Linked DNA regions of Drosophila melanogaster. The protein of the gene in region 1 binds, or shares a complex with, the protein of each later gene. Each region holds a gene or a part of one and is shown on either strand. Other genes may lie near its edges. The genes, in order: Sgf29, Ada1-2 and Spt3.

What was found.
Region 2: Sgf29 (region 1) and Ada1-2 share a complex: the UniProt entries of both Drosophila melanogaster proteins name them as parts of the spt-Ada-Gcn5 acetyltransferase (SAGA) complex.
Region 3: Sgf29 (region 1) and Spt3 share a complex: the UniProt entries of both Drosophila melanogaster proteins name them as parts of the spt-Ada-Gcn5 acetyltransferase (SAGA) complex.

The regions. Positions count from the first base shown.
Region 1 is NT_033778.4:21,289,150-21,297,026, forward strand, and holds Sgf29 (SAGA-associated factor 29kDa), read right to left. Parts: upstream 4,498-7,877; 5' UTR 4,348-4,497; intron 4,293-4,347; exon of another isoform or gene 4,266-4,292; 5' UTR 4,211-4,265; coding exon 4,172-4,210; intron 4,117-4,171; coding exon 3,888-4,116; intron 3,836-3,887; coding exon 3,678-3,835; intron 3,609-3,677; coding exon 3,165-3,608; 3' UTR 3,090-3,164; downstream 1-3,089. Other genes in the region: CG10505 (uncharacterized protein), read right to left, coding at 1-375, 447-677, 1,097-1,179; CG30392 (uncharacterized protein), read right to left, coding at 2,137-2,432, 2,493-2,710, 2,778-2,935; RpL29 (ribosomal protein L29), read left to right, coding at 4,911-5,012, 5,082-5,210; CG9752 (uncharacterized protein), read right to left, coding at 5,286-6,061, 6,118-6,373. UniProt on the Drosophila melanogaster protein: Component of both the SAGA and CHAT histone acetyltransferase complexes, which both predominantly acetylate histone H3.
Region 2 is NT_033779.5:11,989,145-11,996,969, reverse strand, and holds Ada1-2 (transcriptional adaptor 1-2), read right to left. Parts: upstream 4,069-7,825; 5' UTR 3,978-4,068; coding exon 3,178-3,977; intron 3,114-3,177; coding exon 2,987-3,113; 3' UTR 2,916-2,986; downstream 1-2,915. Other genes in the region: Ada1-1 (transcriptional adaptor 1-1), read right to left, coding at 1-66; Qtzl (quetzalcoatl), read right to left, coding at 727-968, 1,027-1,156; CG18789 (uncharacterized protein), read left to right, coding at 1,653-1,729, 1,785-2,904; escl, read right to left, coding at 4,496-5,395, 5,451-5,640, 5,699-5,997; dgt2 (dim gamma-tubulin 2), read right to left, coding at 6,194-6,657, 6,715-6,946; zuc (zucchini), read left to right, coding at 7,146-7,825. UniProt on the Drosophila melanogaster protein: Component of the transcription regulatory complex SAGA, a multiprotein complex that activates transcription by remodeling chromatin and mediating histone acetylation and deubiquitination. The SAGA complex predominantly acetylates histone H3.
Region 3 is NT_033777.3:12,012,289-12,020,165, reverse strand, and holds Spt3 (Spt3), read right to left. Parts: upstream 3,011-7,877; 5' UTR 2,941-3,010; coding exon 1,786-2,940; 3' UTR 1,616-1,785; downstream 1-1,615. Other genes in the region: DCAF12 (DDB1 and CUL4 associated factor 12), read left to right, coding at 3,348-3,614, 3,684-4,238, 4,298-4,702, 4,767-4,919; GCC185 (GRIP and coiled-coil domain containing 185 kDa), read right to left, coding at 5,580-5,662, 5,726-5,843, 5,907-7,877. UniProt on the Drosophila melanogaster protein: Component of the transcription regulatory complex SAGA, a multiprotein complex that activates transcription by remodeling chromatin and mediating histone acetylation and deubiquitination. The SAGA complex predominantly acetylates histone H3.

The DNA.
Region 1 (7,877 bases):
CCCACCTGGCGGGTCATCAAGTAGCCAAAGATACAGGCCTCCACGGGACCCTTCCACAGGTCGTGAAAGAAGTAAAAAGTCAAGTCGAACTGCGAGAGATCGATGGACATCACCGAAATGGCCTGGCCTCCAAGTCCTTCGCCACTGCTCGCCGAGGCGCGCAGACATTTCCGGTAGACCAGGCCGGCACAGGCCAATCTGACCCGCGTTCCCACCGCGAATACGTAGAACATAAATGGGTGAAACACTAGGGAGGTGACCAGCGAGCACAGGACAATGCCCATGGCGTACAGATAGGCACTCTCCTTGGTCACCGTCGTCTGGCCGTAGGCGAAGTAGGAGATCAATCCTCCGAGCAGCAAAGGCTGGAAGGAACTGCAATTAAAGCGGAAGTGAAAAGTGAGATTGCTGTGATTTCCGGAAGTATATTTAGATTCTGTACTCACTGAATAGCCATTTCCAACAGAGAATATAAAATGCAAACGGGAACAAACTGCCATCCGTAGACCTTAAAGATCAGCCGCATAAGACTCGGATTTTTCTTCTTGGACTCCTTCTCCCAGTGGGGCTGTAGGTTTCTGGTCAAGGACTCACTATCGAAACTGGGCAGGTGTTCGTACAGCTTACTCGCGTCCAACTCCTCCCGCCTGCCCTTCCGAAAAACACTGTGCATCCATCTGAAGGAGGAAAAATGATAAGTCGTTCAATATCTTATCAAAGTATCTCCAAGGTAGGCGACTTGCAAATGGCATGTCTGATCCAGGGCATTACTACGTGACTGCCCAACAGTCAATGGTCAATCAATATCGCGAAATTCCGATTTATGACCGAAATCTCATGTGGAAACTATGGGTTAAAAATAACCATTATCACTTAATGAGTTTTGAAAAAGATATTCCAAAGCTGACTTCTGGGCATTACAAGTATCTTAACTTTTTTGCTTAAACTTTTCGGAGATGTTGTTTATCAGCACTTATTAGCAACAATTAGCACTATCCTTATCGCGAGTTGTAAACTATTCACTGATTGACCATGACCATCGTTTCCGCAGAGATTTTCACTTTTCACCAATAAAAAAAAAATATTGACGACTCACAGGAACAGCCACTTAGAGATTATATTGGCCTTGATAAACGGATTACTCTCTCTTTTCGGACTCGACTGCTTAGAAGCATCCATGGCTCCATATGCTCGCGGCGCCAGACGGATTGAATATGCCCCAAAACGGACGGTCGAAGGCGCTTTTAACGACTTCAGCACTCACAGACGGAGCAGTGACGTCTGTGGATTATTTGTCCGGAGAACCACCATCTTCTACGGTTTGCACTTGGCACAACGCCTGTCCAAACGGCGATAAAGTGGCCAACTCAACACGTTTTTTGAGAGTTCACCGCTTTTGATAGTGATACGTAGTGATAGTGACTAAGGCGTAATCGATAGCGCAATTAGACTGCAATTGAAACGGCGGCCATTACTGCAATTTGCGCTCCAAAAGTTAGCTCGCTAAGCCCAAATGGCCATATATCTTGACTGGATTCTGGAGATATAGGGGAGTTTTAGCGGTCTTTGTCTTGGACCATAATCACAAGCAGATACGCCAAGCCATTTGTATCCGAAGTGGGTTTTTTATGAGGTAGCATTCCCCCAGCAGCTTATCTAATCGGGATCGCTTATTATGCTGTTATATTTGGAACTGGCACGAGAAACTATGTTTGTCCAGGTTGACCAAGTTCAATACACCCAGAGATAAGACAAGTTTTCATTCATGACTAAAGCTTTAATGGCGTTAAAATACGGGGGATTTTGGAAATATTGCACAGCCTGTGGACAAGGCGATAGATGAGCGATTGCAGGCAATTCAAAATGCAAAATTAAAACTTACGTCTTAGGAAACGAATACTTGCAGTTACACAATCAATACAGAAAATTTTAGCTACATAATCTACGCCGGGGTAGACACCAGATCTGATAGAGAGTTAGATACAGTACAAAAGCATATTATAAAAGTATGGTATAATATCATATTATAGGCATCTTTTCTGGCTAGGGTAAAGTAGGGAAACTTTGGTATTTATCACTCTATCAGATCTTTTGAATGCCCCAGATGTATAGATATGGATTATGTATGTATGGATTCTAAGGCAGGCTGTGTAGATCGTATAGCGTGTAGAGGTCTTCTGTGCGATCGTAGTTGGTTCTCATATGCTTCAGCATGGAAGGCAGGTTCTCTTTGGCCGCCTCGACATCGGAGCACACTTTCTTGAGAAGATCTCCCCTAGTGGGCATCGCGTACATAGCCAGGCGCGCTCCTTTGCGGATGAGGAATGAGTGATGCTTGCCCAGGGTGTCATCGTAGGCCTCCTTGCACACGTCCACAGTCTTTTGGTCGTCGGGTATCGCCTGGATCCGATTGAGAAACTCGTAGACAAAGTCTAGATAAGAAGAAACCAATCAATTAGCCACTGTGGCAGTTATATGCGCATAACGCTCACCAAGACCGCGATGAAGACGTAGCAGCGTTCGACTGCCAGACACGTAACCCTTCTGAGTAAGCAACTGGGCCTCCTTCTCGTAATCCAGCATGGTTCTGAAGGTATTAAAGTGTTCCTGCTCCTCCGCGTCCTTGGCTCTCAGGGCGTATAAGATATCTATTTTACTGCGCACATCGCTGCTGACAAAACTGAAGACACTGCCCATGAGCTGGAAGAACCTAATGAACACCGAAAGCCCAATAGAGCACCACTAAAAAACATAAACATCATAATCACTCAGTTTACTTCATTATTTCCTCGTAGGCTGCCAAGTATGCGTCTAATTGTACGTCATCCTCGTCCAGAAGGCTGGTTTCGAACAAATTAGACACTTTGAGGATATCAAAACAGTTTCCATTTTCCGCCGTGCCATTGGTCTGCGTCGCTAAGCTCGTTTTACTCATCTTATAAGCCTGCCTTTCCCCTTTGTTTTCCTACAAACTTTAAAGTCTATTTATTTTTTTTAGGAAATCAATGTAACCGTTCTCCAAAAAATCCGGTATTAAAATACCACCCTGAAATTACTTTCTTCTTATTCCAGACAGAAACCAGTCTATTGTGAATTGAATACAATTTTAATTGGAGCTATTATTACAATTACATTTAATTCTTAAAGTTAAGATAATACATTTTTTATGCTGATGATAGATTCCCGCTGCCACTGCCAGCCCCCTTTTTCGTTGGACGATATGCAATCACATAGCGCTGTGCGACCGGCAAGGGTTCGGCATAGCCATTCGTGTACGATGAATCCTCGAATAGCACCTCGTAATCCTCGGTGGCGGTTTGCGGCAGGCGATGGACAATGGCCTTGTAGAAACAGGTGGTCTGTGGATATAGCGCCATTACCACTGTGTCCTTGGGGAAGAGGGCGTGACCATCGGTCTCAGGATTTGCACGCATTAGAGGCAGTGGGATGACCTTTCGCTTGCTCAGCACATGGCGATCCTTTTGCTCCTCGTCAATGTCAATTACGTCGTATTTGTTTTGACGGTGAAGGAACTGCACCACTTCCGCCAGGATCCAGTTCTCCTCCTCATCAATTCCCTTAGCTAATGCGGCAACATTGTCGCCAACCTATACAGTGGCGTCCGATTAGTCAGATCATCATCCCAGCTTCTTTGTCCAATCAAAATGAATGCTTACCTTGGCCACATAGTTCCCCTCGGCGGGAATGGCTCCACATAGAGCTGGTGCTCGTTCTCCTAGTTTGCCAACGAATAACGGCAACGTTTGCGCTGAGAGCTGCACCATTTTCATAAGGGCGCCCCGTCGAATGGCCTCCTTATTTCCAGCGTTGCGAGCTGTGGAATATGCGAGATTAAATCCTGTTTATACATCCCATCACTAACCCACCTTGGATGCGCCTCTCATTGCGAATGCTTCGAATCTCGTGGATTTTCGCCAGTGCGGCTCGGATTGTGGCCTCCTCCTGCGCAGCCTCCGTTAAACTGGCCTTGAGCAGGGGCTTAACCTTCTGATTGGTGGCGTGCAGAGATCGCACCAGACTAGCAATGGAGTTTTCCGCACGACGACGCTCCTCGTCCACATTGTGAATGTTTTGTTGAATGTCCTTCAGGCGATCCTGTAAATGCCATATAAATATAGTATATATCGACATTTATTGTTAACATCTTTACCTGAATCTGTTGGGCGGCACTCTCCGCAGTCAGTGGCATGTTGTTTCGATATTATAACAATATAATAAATTTGTTTTTTGAACACTTTGTTTACCTACGCAATGAAAACAAAAACAAGCATAAGCGTAAAGTCGACAACGCGTTAGTATTAACTATGCGATAGTTTTATATTTTACCTCAGTATTTTTTTAATCTTAGCAAATTTTATTTTACAGAGTAAAACAGAGTAATTATTGTTAAGATTTTTGTACCGTATAATCTCATTATTTGACTTTAGTGGATCTTTTTCTCAAACTCGAATATTTACTTTTCAAAGTTGTTTACGTTTCTTACATTGGAGATGGAAGCAAGTGCGCCTAACAGCACGCAGATAACAGCACGATATCTTCACGTGGTTGGCGTTATTTAGTCCCTTTTCTGCGCTCTATGACAGCCTCTCTGGCTTTCCCTTCTTTTCCATCGCGTTTCCGTAAGTGTGCTCCGCGTTTTTCCAATTGGCTATTTTTATTTATAATATCTTCAATTGCAGCTAGGAATTCCAGTGTGCGAAAAACGTAGGTGCCTAATACACGAGAAATGCAACGAAAATTTCAACAGTTGTTGGCTTTTTGTTCAACTGGCGTTGGCTAAAAGTGAACTCCAAGTGTTAACCCCAAGCTAAAATTATAATGGCGAACATTTTTTCTGTTTTCATGTGCCGCCCCATCAACGAATCTTTGGATACCCGGAGTAGTTTAAGATGGCCAAGTCCAAGAACCACACAAATCACAACCAGAACAAGAAGGCCCATCGTAATGGCATCAAGCGCCCGCTGCGCAAACGCCACGAGTCCACTCTGGGTGTAAGTATTCAAAAATATGCATATTTAGTTAGCATCTAGAGTTGATTTTAACAACCTTCCCGTCTTTAGATGGATGTGAAATTTCTGATCAACCAGCGCTACGCACGCAAGGGAAACCTTTCCCGCGAGGAGTCCGTGAAGCGCTACAACGAGCGCATCGCTTCCCAGAAGGGCAAGCCAAAGCCTGTTACTCTGTAGATGATTGCCCCGCGTGTGGATAATTAAAGGACAATTCAGTTTAACAAAGAACCGTCTTTATTTGTGTTGCCGTCGTTAGTAGTAGATGCTCAGCACCTTGTGGAAGGGAATGTGCTCCAGGTCGGCATTGTGCCGACGCCGGTAGTCCCACAGATATTGGTCGATCACAATGGAGTTGACGTTGTCCAGTGAGATTTCGGGGTGCTGCTCCTTGAGTATCTTCACCACAGCATCCCTAACTTGTTCGATGATGTATATAGATGCGCCGCGTATCTCCACCTCTCGGGGATCGCCGTTCTCCAGAATAGTATCCGTCTTTAGGAACTCCATTAGCTCACTGGTGTACTCCAAACTGCCGAAGTGCACTAGCACCTGGGGAATTCGGTAGTCAGCGAACATGGTTATCTGATCGATGTCATTAAAGAACCCAAGTCCCTGACCTCTGTAGCAGGACCACACATCGCCCACTAGGATTTGCGCTCGTTTTAGGATGGAAACTCGCTTTCCAGCAAACTCAGCCTCATCGCGAAAACAGGGAAACTCCTCCACAACGAGATCCAGCAAGCGAACTGCCGATTTCTCCGCCTTCTTGATAACATTCTCAAAACTGCCGTCGTACTTGTCGATCAGAACTTTTCCCACTTCATGGAGCGATTCCAGACGCTTTTGGAGCAGCGGAATCACTGTCTCGCCATCGTCAGAGCGGAAAATGTTCTCCACGGTTTTCAGATCAATCTGGGAATAGAACTTGGGATTGATCACATCCACGCCTTCCTTGATGGCTCTCTTAATCGCAGCACACAGCGCAAAGTAGCCGGTATAGCCATCGACCTTATATTTGGTGTAGTTATCTGCGGAAGATTACCATTGAAGATAGTGGATGCTGCTATAAATATCAATTACTCACTGGGGGTCCAAAAGCAAAAGTTCAGGGTGTCCAACACAAAGACCCAGTCGGCTGCTTTGGAATAATCCTCCGGCTGATTTGGATTGGGATGTAATTCGTGCTGCGAGAAGTTTTCCACAGCAATGCGTTTTTCTATTAGGCCTTTTACGATTTCCTGGGTCAGTTTCTCAATGCCTGCAGGCAGAATACGAACATGCTTGGCATTTTCTACGATATAGGCTCCAGATTCCCGGGGACTTAGTTTGCTGCTGGACATTTTAACAATTTTATTAATGTTTTTAATTAAGATGTCGCGACTTTTGGCGCTGTAACAGGCGTTTTGGTTTATTTAGGAGATTCGGGATGGTAAGTAGTCTGGTAACGCCACCAGGGCTGCAGACACGCCAGAACAGTTTCGGCCCGGTGGCAGCGCTGAAATAACACATGAAGGAGCTGCGAATTTCGCTCGTTGCTCGCGGAATAAAATAAGCAAATAATAGTTAAATGGCAATAGTGGGTCACCAACTAGCCGCCAGTTTTTTCTAACTGATTGTGTAATGTTCTAAAAGTGAAGTGCGTACAAAAAAGAGAACGCGTACAGTGCCGTTGATTGCTTAAACAAAAAGTCATCAATTTGTTTTTGTGTGGCTTTGTTGTTTGTGAATGCCCAGGAAATATTTAATTCACACGACAGTTACTCAAGTGCCGCACGTTCTTTGTGCGATTAAGAAAAATATTTTATCGACGTTTCAGTTGGCACCCACACACTGAGCCACCCGCACTCACACAGATACGGCTACGCGGATACAGATACATATACAGATACACGTGCGCTCAGCTGTTGTCGAGAGCTGCTCAGCTGTAGTTTGTTGTCATTCCGTCTCGAGATCCAGATCCCAGAAAATCCCAAGGATATACCCCCAAAAATCCGGACACGCAGATATATATGCCCTTGATCCAGTCAGCAGGTGAGCTATCCGGTTCTGGCCCGATCCGCTGAATATGCCGCATCACACAGGCTTCATTTTAATTTGTAGACACGACTGAATCCGATAATTATATAGTATACTACTTTAGCAGTGGCCCATAAGTAGCCTCAAAATGTGCTAACAGATTGTACACTTAAATAGTTGACTTATTCTCCATCGTATTATTCACTCTTGAGTTTCCCACACACACCAAAGTAAAGTATACGTAGTTTACATAAATAAACTTAGAGACCTAGAACTTGCAATATACACACTTACAGTATAGACGCATTTATTTTTATAATAATAATAATCTATTCCGAGCCCCGCGCGGATTTCGCTTTCATCTAGCAATCGTCACTAGTTTAATTTAGTTATTTGTTTACTTTTAAAGGGAGCGCTATCGGCTGTAGGTTTTTATTTAAACTGTAATCTGTCATGTAATCAGTCATAATACCTTGAGTGCTCGAAAGTAAGGCACTCTTTATCTTTCCCCTTATCGTGCACTCCACATTTTGTATCCTCGAAGTGGGGAGGTAGCTTAAATGCGATCTAGATACACAATTTCAATACATCATCGTCAGTAATTGACCGCTCGTCAAATTTAATGTGCTAATTTGAACTGATCGTGCATTGATTTCTATATTTTTCCACAACGATCTTGTCAAGCGATGGAATCCAAATCCGTAAAGGTACTTGAGATCTTCTTTAAGCCATCCGCCTCACAATCATGTGCTAATTTGCGAGATAAATCAGACATTTGGCAATCATTGATCGCACCTGATTTCATCGATTGGAGTGTCTCAGTTTGTT
Region 2 (7,825 bases), on another chromosome or scaffold:
CTCCCAGTTGTCGCCCAGAGCCACCACTAGCGCCTCCTTGGTGGCCAGAACTCTGTCGGTAAGCATTTTAGTATTGGGAATAACAACTAAACAGGAAAATCCAACTGTTTGCGAATTGCTATATAAACAAATGAATGCAGCTGATTCGAGTGACCGTTCAAAGAACGGCTGAAAATACCAGATACATTTGAGATAAAAACCGTTATTTTTGAAGAACCCTTTAAAAAAATATTGGTTTTAATCTTTAGTGTTCACAGTTTTTATTGTGTACAAGTTAGTTAGTTAAAATATAAACATTAAAGATAGAGCCCACGCCATTCACACAACATAAGATGATAATATTTGCGAAGCTATTTGATCATTAAAAAAGTAATAGAATAGAATAAATATCTTGGTTAATGTTAAAAAATTTAACATAATTTAACATAAATTGTCAATACAATGAGTATTGTATATAAATGCTACGCATAAGAACATACTTAATATTGAAGGTAAACATTACACTGAAAATAACTATGGTTACATAAATATGGTATCGGATTTAGAAGGATAAGGAAAATTCTTTTAGCCTAGAAACACTCATCCTAATTGACGCGATCCCATCGCCACACGGTGCTGTCGTCGCACACGCAAACTAAAATGGAACCGTCTTTGGAGAAGGAAGTCTGTCGGATGGTGGAGTTGCTTTTGGGATGAACCAGCTGGCTACACTTTGTTAAATTGGGATCATTGCAGTCCAATTCCCAGACAAATGTTGTGCCCAGTTGATTGCCCAAGGCCAGAATCTTTTGCCAGGCGTTGAAGGCGAAGCGTACGAACCAGATTTCCGTAGAAATTGGTCAGATAGGGGAGCATAGCGTCCAATACACGTGGGTCCATTGGAGTGGTGGCCTGGGCATCCAGGTAAAGTGGTCTACCCTCGGTCTGTTCGTTCTTTATGTTGAATCGCACCTGTCTCTCCCGGAATTCTACGAACGAATACGATTTTGGTAAGCGGTAACTGTGCATCTTGGAGGATCCGCTTACCTTTGGATGTGGCGGCTGGTTTAGCCGCTGTCCTGGAGGAGGTGGCCTCGTGTCTAACCACATTGGCTAATGCATTCGTCGCCCGGGAGCGGAGGACCTGCGCCTGGATGCGTCCCAGCACTTTTTGCATTCTGATGGAATCCTAGAAATTCTGGTGTTAAAATTCGTTATCACGGATTTCACAATCAGTGGGACCGTATTCGGCGGCACGAGATATACCAAAGGACTCCGGAATTCACTTTAAAATTATCTGATTCGATTATGCAGAAGCAAGTTTCTGAATTTCTTTGAACATATGAAAAATGAATAGCATCTGTGCAAGAAACCAATATTTTTCAGATATATTCGCACTTAATGTATAATTTACAAGGAACTATATTTTCAAAAACCAGTTTTCATCTTAAATATGTTTGCTTACAAAATTATCTTAATCATTCAGCGAACTTAAGTTACGAATTCACGAAATTGCGCGCATAGGCACGGTATATTTTTCTCAGTGAGCCATAAAATACTCAAAGAATACTCAATACGCAAAGTAAGACAATTATAAACAAAAGTACAAAAGTTGAAGCAGTTTTGAAATAATAAATATAGGAAATAGGCAAAAATTAAAATCAAATTTAAATATGGTTGTCTGCCGGTTCTTTCAACAAGGCTCCTGCCGCTATGGCGCAAAGTGCAACAACGAGCATTTCGATGTTAAGTGAGTACATTGATATTAAAACTATGCAGATGAACTAATAACTTAATTATTTTAGGCAATATCTCAAAGCCGACATGGAATCCAGCCTCAATGGCAAGATGTGGCCTTTGTCCGCCTACGGACCCTTTAAGGACAAAGCGAATTTCCCCAACTTTATTCAGGACCAATCCTTCGAGGAGGTGCGGTTCATGTGTTACGAGGCCAAACGACAAAACCAATTCGAACAGTTCAGCCAACAGTTTAACCGTGAGGTCCTAGAGGCTAACAACAAGATGAAGACCATGCTTCAGATGTCGCCGCAGGTCCTGGAAATGATGATCAAGATCCACGAGACGCCGGAGGGCGGCACTGTGTCGGCTGCCCCTCAGCAGTCCAGTAATCCCTTCGCTGCAGCAGCTCCGGCTGCCGCCAATACATCTGCATCCATTTTTGGAAAGCCCACGCTGAGTGCGGGAAATATATTTGGGAATGCCACAAGCCAAGCCAGCAACACCAATAGCATTTTCGGCGGAACGATTAGCAATGCCAATGCAAGGAATAGCATTTTTGGTGTAGGAGCTGCGGCAACAGGTGCACAAAGTGTCTTTGGACAGCCACAGCAGCAACAGCTGCAGCCTGCTGCACAAGCTTTCCAAGGGGGCAACATTTTCGCCCAGGCGCAGGTTCAGGTGCAAGCTCAGCCAGTGAATCCTAATCCTTTCGGTGGTTTCCAACAGCAGCAGCAGCAACCACAGTCGACGGGAATCTTTGGCCAAGCCGCAAGCCAAAATATGGGCGGAATGTTTACTCAGGCTTCTCAGCAACTACAACAGCAGCAGCAGGCAGCTGCCTCCGGATTATTTGCTCAAGCAGCAGCATCTGCATTCCCTAATCAACAACAGATGCAGCAGCAGCAACAGATGCAGCAGCAGCAACAGATGCAACAGCAACAAATGCATCAGCAGCAGCAGATGCAACAGCAACAAATGCAGCAGCAGCAACAACAATTTCAAATGCAACAGCAACAGCAAATGATGCAGCAGCAGCAGCAGCAAGCTCAACCGACCAACGAAATCCAGTCCTCAGTTTACAGTCGCATGGAGGATCTCAACGAGCAGGAAATCGAAGCATTCAAGGCGGATCAATTTCTACCAGGTGCCTTGCCATTCAAACCGCCTCCACGGAATTTTTGCTGAACCAAACACTTAATGGTACACTAGCGTATAATGTATATATTTTTACAGAAGCTGATATAATAAAATAATTAGAACTTATAAGCTAATGCATCATCATATTGAGTCGTTCCATGTTTATAGAGTAGACGGCATGCGAGCCTATCAGGTTGCGATCCCGTAAGGCCAGTTGGCAGTCCTTGAGGGTGATTACTGTGCGTTCGGTGGGTTGGCTGAAAGAAACAAAACCTAAGTTTGTGTTTCACATGAAAATCTCATTATTATTCAGGAGCTTACACTTCTTCGCAGGCGGAGAGGAAGGTCACATCGTCGTTCTGTCGCCGCATAAAGTTGGCCGTATTCAGTTCCTTGTCCAGTTCCAGCGGCGTGTCGTCGACCTTCTGCCGGGTGACGGTGTTGCGCAGCGAAGGATCACGCAACGGAGCACCTACATCGTAGTAAAAGTTTCCCTCGCCGCTGGTCTTGTAGTGCTTTCGTTTCTTGATGATTGCCGATAGTAGATCCTTGAGCAGAACTTGCACGGCCATGGCAACGTACTCGGCGACATTGTCGTCCACGGAGACAAGTCCGATTTCCCAGGCACCGATCAGAAATCGTCCCATAATGAATCCCGCGTCGGGCAGGAAAAGTTCCTGCGCGCAGTACCGCTGCGACTGAAGCTGTTGCTGTTGCTGGTCCGACGGAATACCGATCGTGGTTGGCGGACGAATGATTTGCATGTTGTCCTCGGCTACAAAGTCCAGGACGTCGCTGAGCTCAAAATTAAGGCGTTCGGCGAAGGTGCGGGAACTTCTTTTGCGCCGTTTGCTTCGGTTGCCACTACTGCTGCTGGTCTGGACGGCCGGAGGATTCTCCAGGGGAGCAAAGGCGTCGATCTTGTTGAGCAGGGCGAGCAGGAACTGATTGTGCAGGTGCAGTTTGTCAGGTGTTAGGATTTTCCGCGACTCCGCATCGAATTCCTCCTTAGTCCAACGGCTCCGAAACCAATTCTTCATGTTGGCCCGGTAACGCTCCCAGTTGTCGCCCAGAGCCACCACTAGCGCCTCCTTGGTGGCCAGAACTCTGTCGGTAAGCATTTTAGTAATGGGAATAACAACTAAACAGGAAAATCCAACTGTTTGCGAATTGCTATATAAACAAATGAATGCAGCTGATTCGAGTGACCGTTCAAAGAACGGCTGAAAATACCAGATACATTTGAGATAAAAACCGTTATTTTTGAAGAACCCTTTAAAAAAATATTGGTTTTAATCTTTAGTGTTCACAGTTTTTATTGTGTACAAGTTAGTTAGTTAAAATATAAACATTAAAGATAGAGCCCACGCCATTCACACAACATAAGATGATAATATTTGCGAAGCTATTTGATCATTAAAAAAGTAATAGAATAGAATAAATATCTTGGTTAATGTTAAAAAATTTAACATAATTTAACATAAATTGTCAATACAATGAGTATTGTATATAAATGCTACGCATAATAACATACTTAATATTGAAGGTAAACATTACACTGAAAATAACTATGGTTACATAAATATGGTATCGGATTTAGAAGGATAAGGAAAATTCTTTTAGCCTAGAAACACTCATCCTAATTGACGCGATCCCATCGCCACACGGTGCTGTCGTCGCACACGCAAACTAAAATGGAACCGTCTTTGGAGAAGGAAGTCTGTCGGATGGTGGAGTTGCTTTTGGGATGAACCAGCTGGCTACACTTTGTTAAATTGGGATCATTGCAGTCCAATTCCCAGACAAATGTTGTGCCCAGTTGATTGCCCAAGGCCAGAATCTTTTGCCAGGCGTTGAAGGCGAAGCGTACGAACCAGATCTCGCACATCTTGTAGTCAAAGTGATGCAGCACCGTGGTGGCCGACTCCTGTGGCTTAATCTCATGCCACGATTCTGAAAGTTTGCCCGGCTTCCAGCAAACAATTGAGTTCTCGCAGGATTTCGAAAAGACAAAGTCGCCGAACCACTGAACGCAATCCACATAATTTCGATGTATATCCCTTGTCGAGAAGTCCGGAAAGTGCTCCTTGATCGTGGGAAACGGACCCGTATTCTTGTTGGGACTAAAACCAGAGCTCAGCTCGATGGCCTCTTTTATATCGGGCTTATCCAGTCGCCAGAGCTTCAGTGAGTGATCCATTCCACTGGACATGATGCGATCACCGCGCAAATCAAAGTCCACAGACAACACTTCGTCGCGGTGTCCTTCTACGCCGCCGAAAACCGCCACACACACGTCCGACTGAATGTTCCAAAGGCGCAGGGAGTGATCCTTGCTGCCGGACAGAAGTAACTGCGGTCTAGTCGGATGAAACTTCAGCTCGTTAATGGCGTGCCCGTGACCAATGTAGTTTTTGCTGCACTGGTGCTTAACCGGATTGAATATGCGAATGACGCCGCGGTAACCAGCCGCGGCAAGCACAGGATCGCCGGTCACAGAGTCGTAGGACCAAGCGCATGTGTAGAAACTTTCATCGGTCTAACGAGGGCGTAACGATGATGTATGTAAGTAATAGCATATGATGAGTACTTACATCTGGGTCTGCGTAGACTTGCAGCAGTCGAATGCCTTCGCAGGACTCCTGTCCGGTGCTCCTCTCGCACTCATAAATGGAAACCCGATCCTTGCCAACGGTGGCGAACACCTGCGGCTGGCCTCTGTCCAGGAACGGATTGAACTGCACTCCGAAGATCTGATGGTTGTGGTCCTCGCGGACATGGGAGCTGCAATGCATCCGGGATATAAACATTATGACTTATGTTCTGCCTGGAAAAATCACACCTATATTTGTACAAGGGCTGAACCATTTTGGGTGCCTTGATCCGCCGACACAGGCGGTTCAATTTTCGTGTATTTGGCGATTTGCTTCTGGTGGTGGTCGTAGTAGTGCTGAACAAACTGGCGGTGTCCTCCCGATCCACGGAATTAACTTCGTGCTCATCATCCGGCTCCACAACATTGCAGACACTCGAGGAATTATTGCTCAGCACTGCCTCCGCTGGAGAGTGGTCAGTGGATTCGTCCTCTGCCGGTGGCTCTTCGCTCGGAGGAGATATTTCACTGGGATTCGTTTCGGTCATATCTGTTTTATTCCGGCAAACTTAAAAGCTTCTTTTGTTTACAAATTGTTTATCCCTAGAGTGACCGTCTGCAAATACTGCAGTGCAAAACAGTGTTGCCATTCTAGAGCGAAAAGACCTAAACGAACAACCCTGTTTAAATCACAATTATAATGTATTTAAAAATCTAATTTACATAATACTAGTTTGCTTAAATCTACTTCTTGGCGGCGAGCAGCTCGTCCAGGTGCGCCTCCACCTCCTTATGTGCCTTGACGCTATGTTCGGTGCGAGAGGCGGCCTCGTGGACGAAAAATCCGCGCAGTAGTTCTGCTTTTGTTTGAACAAGTTGCGCCTGCGCCTGTTGCAATTTTAGTTCGTTTGCCAACTGCGGCCCCAATTTCAATTCGGCGGTCTCCTTGAGAAGCGTGCACTTACGAGTGAGAAGCGCAACCAATTTCTCCAGACCGCTGCGATGCTCCTCCTCCAGGCGCAGAATCTCCTTTTGGTCGCAGCTTAAGTCCGCCTCCTGGCCAAAGGCGTCCGGGAACTCCTCGCGTATCCTGTCGCACAATTCGGCAATGGGTTGCAGAGTTGTGCGTAATTGAGCGGACAATTTGGTACGCACCGTCTTGCGATCCGTGTAATTCAAGGGCGGAAAACTGCTGCCGCTCGGTAGACCTGTTAGATTTCCAATGGTTATTCACTGCTTTTGGAATAAACTTGTAACGCGCCTACCAAGCACCTGCTCCTGACCAGCTCCCTCCATCTCGCCGAGTCGCGCATAACTTCCAATGGAAACCAATTTGAGGGCTCTTTTGATTTCATCACTCGGATTTGGGCCCACATCCAGGCGTCTTAGCTCGTCCAGCACTAGCTTCAGCTTGAGCACCTTCTTCAGCTCCGCATCGCGAGCCAGCCGCAAATCTTCCGAGTGTTCGGGCAAGAGCGTGGCGGATGGATCATCCATTTAGGTGGTAAAATGCTTAAATTGACCCGAAATTGATTGTTTGATTCGAATGGGCAAGCGCATGGCTGCGATACGGCAACGCTACTGAGCAACAGTGTGACCGGTAGCTACTAACGATAATATATTTTACTTATATTTTATAATGGTCACCCCAAGATTATTATTTAAAGCGCGCTAGAGAAACGAGCTAAATTCAAAAATGTTGATTACCCAAATAATTATGAAACAAATTCGAGACTATCCCATTGTGTCCACAATAAGCATTGCCGTCAGCACTGTCCTGGCCTCAGAGGTGATTTGGAAGCTGGTGCAGTGCTCGCGCAGCAAGCGAGAGAAGGCAAGCCGCGTGCACGAAGTGATCATCTTCAATGAACTGGGCGAGATCTGTGCGGCGGTGCATATGCGCAACAGCAGCATGGGATCCCAGAAACCACAAGTGTCGCCCTGCTGCAACACGCATTGTTCGCTGCGGAATGTGGCCAAGATCGTAGAGCAGATCGATCGGGCTGTATACTCCATTGACCTGGCCATATACACCTTCACCTCGCTTTTTTTGGCGGATTCAATAAAGCGGGCCCTGCAGCGCGGCGTGATTATCCGGATCATCAGCGACGGGGAGATGGTCTACTCCAAAGGTTCTCAGATCAGTATGCTGGCACAATTGGGAGTTCCAGTTCGCGTCCCCATTACCACGAACTTGATGCACAACAAATTCTGCATAATCGACGGCTTCGAGCGCGTCGAGGAGATTCGTCTGCTGAGGAAGCTCAAGTTTATGCGTCCGTGCTATAGCATCGTGATCAGCGGCTCCGTAAACTGGACGGCTCTTGGACTGGGAGGCAATTGGGAGAACTGCATTATCACAGCTGACGACAAACT
Region 3 (7,877 bases), on another chromosome or scaffold:
GGGGCTGGGCATCGGGGGAAATTGCCTCCGGCTGACGTCAGCAACTTTTCGAGAAAGCGAAAGTAATTAAAAAAGTTTAGCCGAACGGATTTTCAAAAATATCCAATTGCTAAGCCAGACATGCAATTGATGTTTCTCAACTGCACACTCTTTGTGGCAAGTTAGAGAAATTAAAAGCTTTACTTAATTAGCCGCTCAGCAAACATGTTCTTAAACATAAGTCAATTTTGAATAAAAATTTTCAATATTCATGCTATGATTTTCTGTTTACATAGTGTAATTCTATTTAACTATCATTGTTAGAAAAGTTTAGAAAACAGTATCTTTCAAAACAGTATCTTTCGAAGGATAATTAATTCTGTATTCTAAATTATTCAAGAAATTAAGGTATAGAGGCATATTTACATACATACGTATAATATGAGGGCCTTCCCTTTAAGAGAAGTTTAAGGCAACTCGGCTACAAGGGATTGGGGCATATTGACTTTACGCGGCCTGGAAATTGGCTACGTGACTTGACAATACGAAGAAATGACGACGCGACGACGAGCTCCACGGACCTGATGATGATGGTCCTGTTGGGGACGAAGCGAAGAGCCGCATGAAATGCAAATTTGGAAACATTAACAGTGAGTGTGGAGAAGTGTGGGGAGCAGTGCGCGGGGTCAAGGAAAAAAATCACAAGGACGATGCTGGAATGGAAACAAGTTGTTGGCTTAATTTCGTCACAGCCAGCTTGTTTTCATTAACTGGCCATCGAGGAGCTATCGACTGCGTTCCGGCGCTCGTTAGGCGTATGAGCAATCGATTAAGAATAATGGGCCGTTGGAATTACATCTGCAGCACAGAGCAATCAACATTAAGATCCGATTAAACTAGGATATCCCACCGAAGAAAATAACAAGAGGATACCTTTAAAGGTGCATCGATTTTAAGTCAAATTTCGGACCGCATGTTATCAGATAAACAAGCGGGTGATAGGAATAAGAAAAATTTCAAATAAATGGTTTTTAAAAGTTATTTTAAAAAGGTTTTTGGAAAAGATTTGGATTTTGCCTTTGCTATACAATCATGACCACAATTGCACATATGTACATATATTAAAAGTTCAAGTGACATTGAGCAATAATTCTTAATCCTTTTCAATTCACGGCAAAAGACAGAATGAAACCCGCCACCCATAACTGCGGAATGAATTTTAACCCCTTTACCCTTCGTTGCTATGCGTGTCACACACATTTATATGCACAACAGGAAGTTGATTATTAAGTGCGTTCGCGAGTTGCTTCTCTTAATGCCTTATGCTGCAGTCTCTCCTGCAATCCTGCGGCATCCTTGCTGGTCCTTCTCCTTCGCTCCGTCTGTGTGGCACACGTGCGAGTGCGCCTGTCGGCAAATTTCTTTATTGCGCTTTTATTTATCTGTCGGTGCCAGTTTCAACTTCGTTTACCGCTTCAATTTATCGGCTCCATGCGAGGCAGATTCACCCGTCCGTAATTGGAGTGCGTTTTTCTGTCTTTTAGTCGCAGCCTCAAAGGCCAGGATATGTGCCACAGGCAAATTGAATTAATGAATATGCCTAGTTGTTCTTGACCTCTCAGGAAAAAACTTTTTTAACGAGCCAAAATTGCTTTATTTTATAATTTGTATAATTAAAATGTAGAGCGCGTTAATTGTTGGGGATTGAATTACTTTAAATGAATTAATTGTACAGTCTATTTTTTGTGAATAAAATCAATAATTGACGCAAATAAAAATAGGCGAGGATATTAAGATCATTAAAACTTAAATGGCTAGAAAACTGCGCCGGAAATCGATGTCGCAAGAGTTGCGATACCGCCCAATCTTACGGCTGCTCATTTGCCGGAAACGGCGCATGGCCTCGTGGATCTCCGGTACACTGATTGGCTTGACCACCTCCATGCCGCGACCCTGTGTGACCTCCGGACAGACGTGCATCATAGCCGGACTGCCTCCGGCGGAGGTCACTCGGCTGTAGGGCTCGGTCGCACGGTTGTCCGAGTTCAGGCGCGTCAGGATCGAATAGTCGACAATGGCGGCAATGGTCTCATGCGCCAGATAGGCCAAAATGTTCATTGTCGGCGTTGGGATGCGAAGGTCCGCGGGCAGGTCCAGAAAGCGGCGGAACTTGTTCTTGATCTTCTCCCCATGGCGGCAGTAGAATGACGTCTTGCGCGCCTCATTGAACTCCAGGTATTGCTGGCCCGTAAGGATCTGCGATATCCGATCTGCGCGGAATAATCTTCGCATTCGGTCCTCGTCGTGTAGCTCGTACACATCGATGGCCAGCTCCTCGTCCTCCTCCTGCTGCTCCAAGTCGTCCATGAAGTCCTGCGGCCTTCCCGTGCGGATACTAAGGAACCTTTTGAGTATGCGCATATCCTTGAGGTGCTTTCGCATCCGAGCTATCTTCACCGGATGGTTGCGCATCAGGAACTCAAAGTCCGCCTGCGACGGGCAGGGATTCTGTTTCCGCCGCATGGCCACCAGCGAAGCCTCATTGAAGATGCCGCGCAGCTGCTGCTGCAGGATCTGCTCCACCAGCTTGACACTTCCCGTCCTGGGCTGATCGCTGTCGCCGAAGCTTCGCATGATATCCGCAATCTCTGTGAGCAGTGAGACAGGTGCATCATCCGGAATGAGAACGTTGGCAACGTTGCTCCCGCTGGCACCACCGGCTACATTATGTCCAGCTAGGTTGATCTGCTGTGGCGAGGGATTCGTCGGTATGCTTCCACTTTGCAGCAGAATCACTTGGCGCTGCACAAGCAGTGGCTTGATGTCCTCGGTGGTCTGCAGTTGCGGCGTGCTGGGCGCCGAGGGCGGGGCAGGTCCAATCATTATCGGCGACGCTGCCATGTCGTTGGAACCCACGCAAACCGAGTTCTGTCGCATTACTCGCTTGGCGTTGTAGTTCATTTTATTTACAAACAAAGTCACCACTTCAATCGCAACAGCTGATTTCGTGAGAATAGATAAAACCCTTTGTGAAAGCGATGGCCTATCGTTAGGGATGAACGATAGTGTAACGCATTTGTGCGACATCCGACTTTATATAAATACTGTATATTATATATATATTATTATATATATATATATATTCAGGTAACCAGAGCGGCCGAGTATTGTGCCAAATAGAAAAATGTCAACACTTGTATTTTTATTTCCCTTAATTTGTATCTCTGCATTAAATGCAAAACAATCGGTTCAGCAAACTTCAGTTCCGAACCAGTAGTTCCACTGTAGTCTACGCACCACCATTTTTGTTTGCGGATGATAACCCGTAAAGCAAAAGACAACAAATCGGATTAAACAATTACCTTAAGATGTTCAACGGGATGGTGAGAACCATCCGCGACAGCGTCGTGGGCACCTATCCGTCCTGCCACGTATCCTCGCGGCTGGAGGAGCGCAGGGCCAAGCAGCGGGCGATGCGACAGGAGCGTAGACGAAAACCGGACAAACCAGACGACTTTGTTACTTACGAGGATTCCGGCAGCGACGAGGAGACGCCCCAACAGCAGGAGGAGGTCCTGAACACATCCTACAACCTGTGCGACTACCTGCGCAGCCGGGAGAGTGGACTCCGAGATGTGGGTATATGTTGTGAAGTCGCACCACTTGCATTGCTAACGTGAACTTTGTCCCACCATCCTCTGCAGCGTCGCAGTGTCAATGTGGAGTACACCAGCCGCTATGTGCTAACCCACGACATGCTGCGCGAGACGCAGATTAGTCTGGGCTACATCAACAAGGTCTTCTGCTCCAAGTGGCTGAGCAGTCGACAAGTGGTTTTCGGGACCAAGTGCAATAAACTGCTCGTCTACGATGTGAACATGCGCCGGGTGGACGCCATCCCAACGCTCTCAAATAGCCGGGCAAACCATCCTGAGGTCCAGGGTGGCCTGCATGCCATCGAGCTGTCGCCCAGCCGATCCTTCCTAGCCACCGGTGCGCGCAACTCCTCCGATATTGCTGTTTACCGACTGCCTACGCTGGATCCCGTCTGTGTGGGCGAGGGTGGGCACCGCGACCTTATAATGGGCATGTGCTGGCTGGATGACCAGTTTCTTGTGTCCGGATCGAAGGACTCGCGCATGGCTCTGTGGCGCATCAACGAGGATCACATGGAGTTTCCAGATGGCGGCGAGGAAGCGTGTCCCACATTCGCAACCATCCACCCCCTTAGTGTCAAGGAAGTTCGCACTGCCCAGAGGGTGAGCTTATGAATGCAAATCAAATCAAAGAACCATTTTATCAATAAGATCTTTTACAGATTCGATCTCTTTGCTTCAACAAGGAGTTTAAGGAGATCGCCGCCCTCTCGCTGAACGGATACATTCACATCTTCAATGCGGAGACCTTCAAGCAGACACTCTCACGAAAGCTGCCAAACTGCCAGGACAACGTGAGCATCGCCTACCACAGCGACGGCCTTTATGCCGTTGGATGCCGTTCCTATACCATCCTTTTGGACGCCCGAACCCTTCAAACCATTAAGAAGATCACATCTCGATACAGTGGCTGCGGTATACGGGCGACTTCGTTCGAAGGTAACCTGCTCACCGTTGGCACGGGTCTGGGCATGCTCCTATTCTACGACATTCGAGCCGGAAAGTATTTGGAGAGCAGTGTGAATGCCTCGCGCACAGTCGCACTCAAGTGCAGCAAAGGAATTGTGGTAAGTGAAGAGGTTACAGTTCCACAAAATACACCAATTCACCTAACTGTTTTGTACATTTCAGTATCCGGAGGATGAGATGGATGGCTTCCAGCAGGTGAAGTATGTGCCCGCCATCTACACCCACTGCTATGACAGCACTAGGATGCGCCTCTTCGCTGCAGGAGGACCACTGCCGGCGACTTTGGTGGGCAACTATGCGGGCGTTTGGCAATAGATTGGCATAGGATCCGATCCGGGCTCACAATACTGATTAGTATTTAAGTAGTTATTCGACTTGTGATCTTTAATCTTTTGGCGCATTTCGATTCAAATCGTTCACCTGCATATGTATTCCGCCAAGACAGAATTTTTATTTAACTTGATTACTCACTTTTGGTTTTAATGAAATTTATGTAAGATTTATGTTAATGATATTTTATATTGTGTGTAAACAATATACACCGTTTAAAAGTGTAAATGTAAGCATAAATACCGATCCTATTTATATATAGTACATACAATACAAATAATGGAATACTAATTTATAGACAATGCATCTGATTTATAGTCTGATCTATATGGTAATAGAATTTCAAATTAAACAAACCATTGAAAAACATTGTTTTTAAATATATGCAAAGGCTTTCTTCAATCTACAACGCGCATATTGCCGGTGGTGCTGTATAGGGCACTCAACACAACGGGTGTGGACAAATTACAAGAGTGTACAAAGTACGATGTGCCAAACAGCAACGAGCAATTTTAAAATACATTATATATAAAAGGGAAATTGTACAAGATTTACAGAATGAATGCTATGCAACTGCCCAACGACTGACGACTATCCGCATCCAACAAGACGAATATTTATATATTATATATCCTATGATGTTCGCTAGTTGTTATTATTGGGACTGCCTCCTCCACTCCACGCAGTGAGGAATCCCGTCCAGCTGCGACTGCTACCATCTGCAGAAACTAAAAGCAATATCTTAATACAAGAAACCATACTAAAATTTAAATTTTTCTGCTAGTAGTTACCTTTCTGTCCCTTGGCCACACAGTTCAGCATTTCCATTTCGTTGCGACTCAGGCGGAGAATGGTATTTAGCACGGGAACCAAGCGCTGCCGCTCATCGACATTGTTTAACGTAAGGAACTGCAAGTTTATAAAGTAAATAGATTAAGCCCGTGGATATAGTTATTGCGTTCCTGATCTCACCTTTAAGAAGACGTTCTTCAAGTACTCGGAGTTGTGCATGTGTTGTTCACGTTCCTCGGAGCGCTCTTGGCGGCGCAATTCTTCCTTGAGCATGTCGTTCATTTGGGTCAGTTTAGCCAAATCCTGTTCGTTTTCGGCCAACAGGGCAGTCAAGTGCTTGACACGACTTTCCTGGATGCTTAGGCGTTCTTTTGTGGCCTGAAGCTGGGCACTTTGGACGGAAAAGTCTCCCCGTGCGGCCATTTCCGCTTCCTCGTCCTCCTGCTGCGAAACGCTGCGTCCGAAATTAGAGATGGTAGTCACGGTATCGCTGGTTATTTGGTTCATTGATGTGTTGAGCAGCTCGTCAAGCGGCATGAAGTCGTGGGAACGTCTCGAGGCAGTAGATATCTTTCGCTGAGCAGCCAGTTGGGCCAGAGAGACGTCTCCAGCGTGGCCATCCAAGCCTGTTTCGTGGTCCATAAGCAAGTAATCGATCTTTGCCTGCTCTGGACTGGTGTCCACGCTCGCGGCGGATGCAGTGGTATGCTGAGAGACGTTTGCTTGCATCTTTTGCGCTTCCTCCAGTTGCTCCTGCACCTGCGTTAATTGCAACTGGTGCCCGGCGTCCAGCTCATCAACTTGCTGGCGATGCTGCTGCATCAGGTCGTGTTGGAATTGCAACTGGCGTTGGTTTTCTAGCGACAGCAGGTCGTTTTGCTGACGCAGTTCGTCAACTAGAGAGACGAGCTCTTTGCTACGCTTTTGCAGATCAGTGTTATCCTGTCGCAATTCCTCTATTTGACTATCCAACTGGGCCAGGCGGGCAGCTCTTCCATCGTTGCTGGCGCGCAGATTGCGTTCACTCTCTCGAAGCGCAACCAACTCTTCTTCCAACTCCTGTTCGCGGTTGGAGCCCTTATTTTGGTTTTTGCGCAGCACAGACTGTGCCTTCAACTTGTATTCGGTGTACTCTACTCGCAGGTCCTCCAGAGCTCGTTCCGCATTTCGAAGCGCCGTCTCCAATCGCTTTTGCTCTGCCAGGTGCATTTCCAGCTCCTGGGTTTGGCTTAGTAGTTGTTGGGTGGCCGTGTTTAGCTTCGATTCGTATTGTTGGGCGCTCTCCGACAGCTGGAGACGCAATTGCTCCGCCTCGAGCTTGGCCTGTTCAACGCCATGTTCCAAATCCTTGTTCTGAGTGAGCGCCTGTTGCTTGCTGTGAACTGCGTCTTTGACCTGGACCTGCATGCGATCAATCTGCTCCTTAAGTTCTAGGGAGTGGGCCGCTTCGCCGTTTTTGGCCTCCTCTAGGATAGCGATCTCCTTGCGCAGCTGGACGATGGTGTTTTCCTTGCTGGCCAGTGATTCCTTAACGGCTTCTAGTTCGCTAGACTTAGCTGTCAGCTTCGCACTAACTTCGCTCAGGGATTTTTCAGCTGCTTCAATTTCCAAATTAAGGACACTGGAGTGCTTTACTTTCTCCTTGGACTTTAGCTTCTGGTTTTCAGCTCGAGCTGCATTTAAATCCTGTTGCAGTTGGGCCTGTGCCAACTTGATTGCCTCCAACTCCTCCTTTAGGGCACCGCTCTGTTCCATTTCATTCAGCTGCTGCGTCTGCTCCTGCAGTTTCTTTTTCAGCTTGGCAGCTATGGCTCTGAGCTTATGGTACTTCTCCTCGTAGCCTTCGTCCAGTTCACGCAGGCGGCTTAGTTCTTCGGCTCGTGATATTGTGGATGTCGACAGAACATCACTCTGGGCATCAGCATTCGCCTGCTCCAATTCCTCAACACGGCTCTGGAGTTGTTTGATCTTCTGTAACTTCTCCTGCGCCGCCTGCTGACTATTAGATAGTTGAGCCTCCAAGTCTCGTTGTCGCTTGACCTCCGCTTCGTGCTGTTCTTGAAGGCGTGAAATGGCATCACCGCGTCCTTTGAGCGCCTCGTTCAGTTCCCGCATCTCCGTTAGCAACTCTCCATGCTCTTGCTCCTTGAG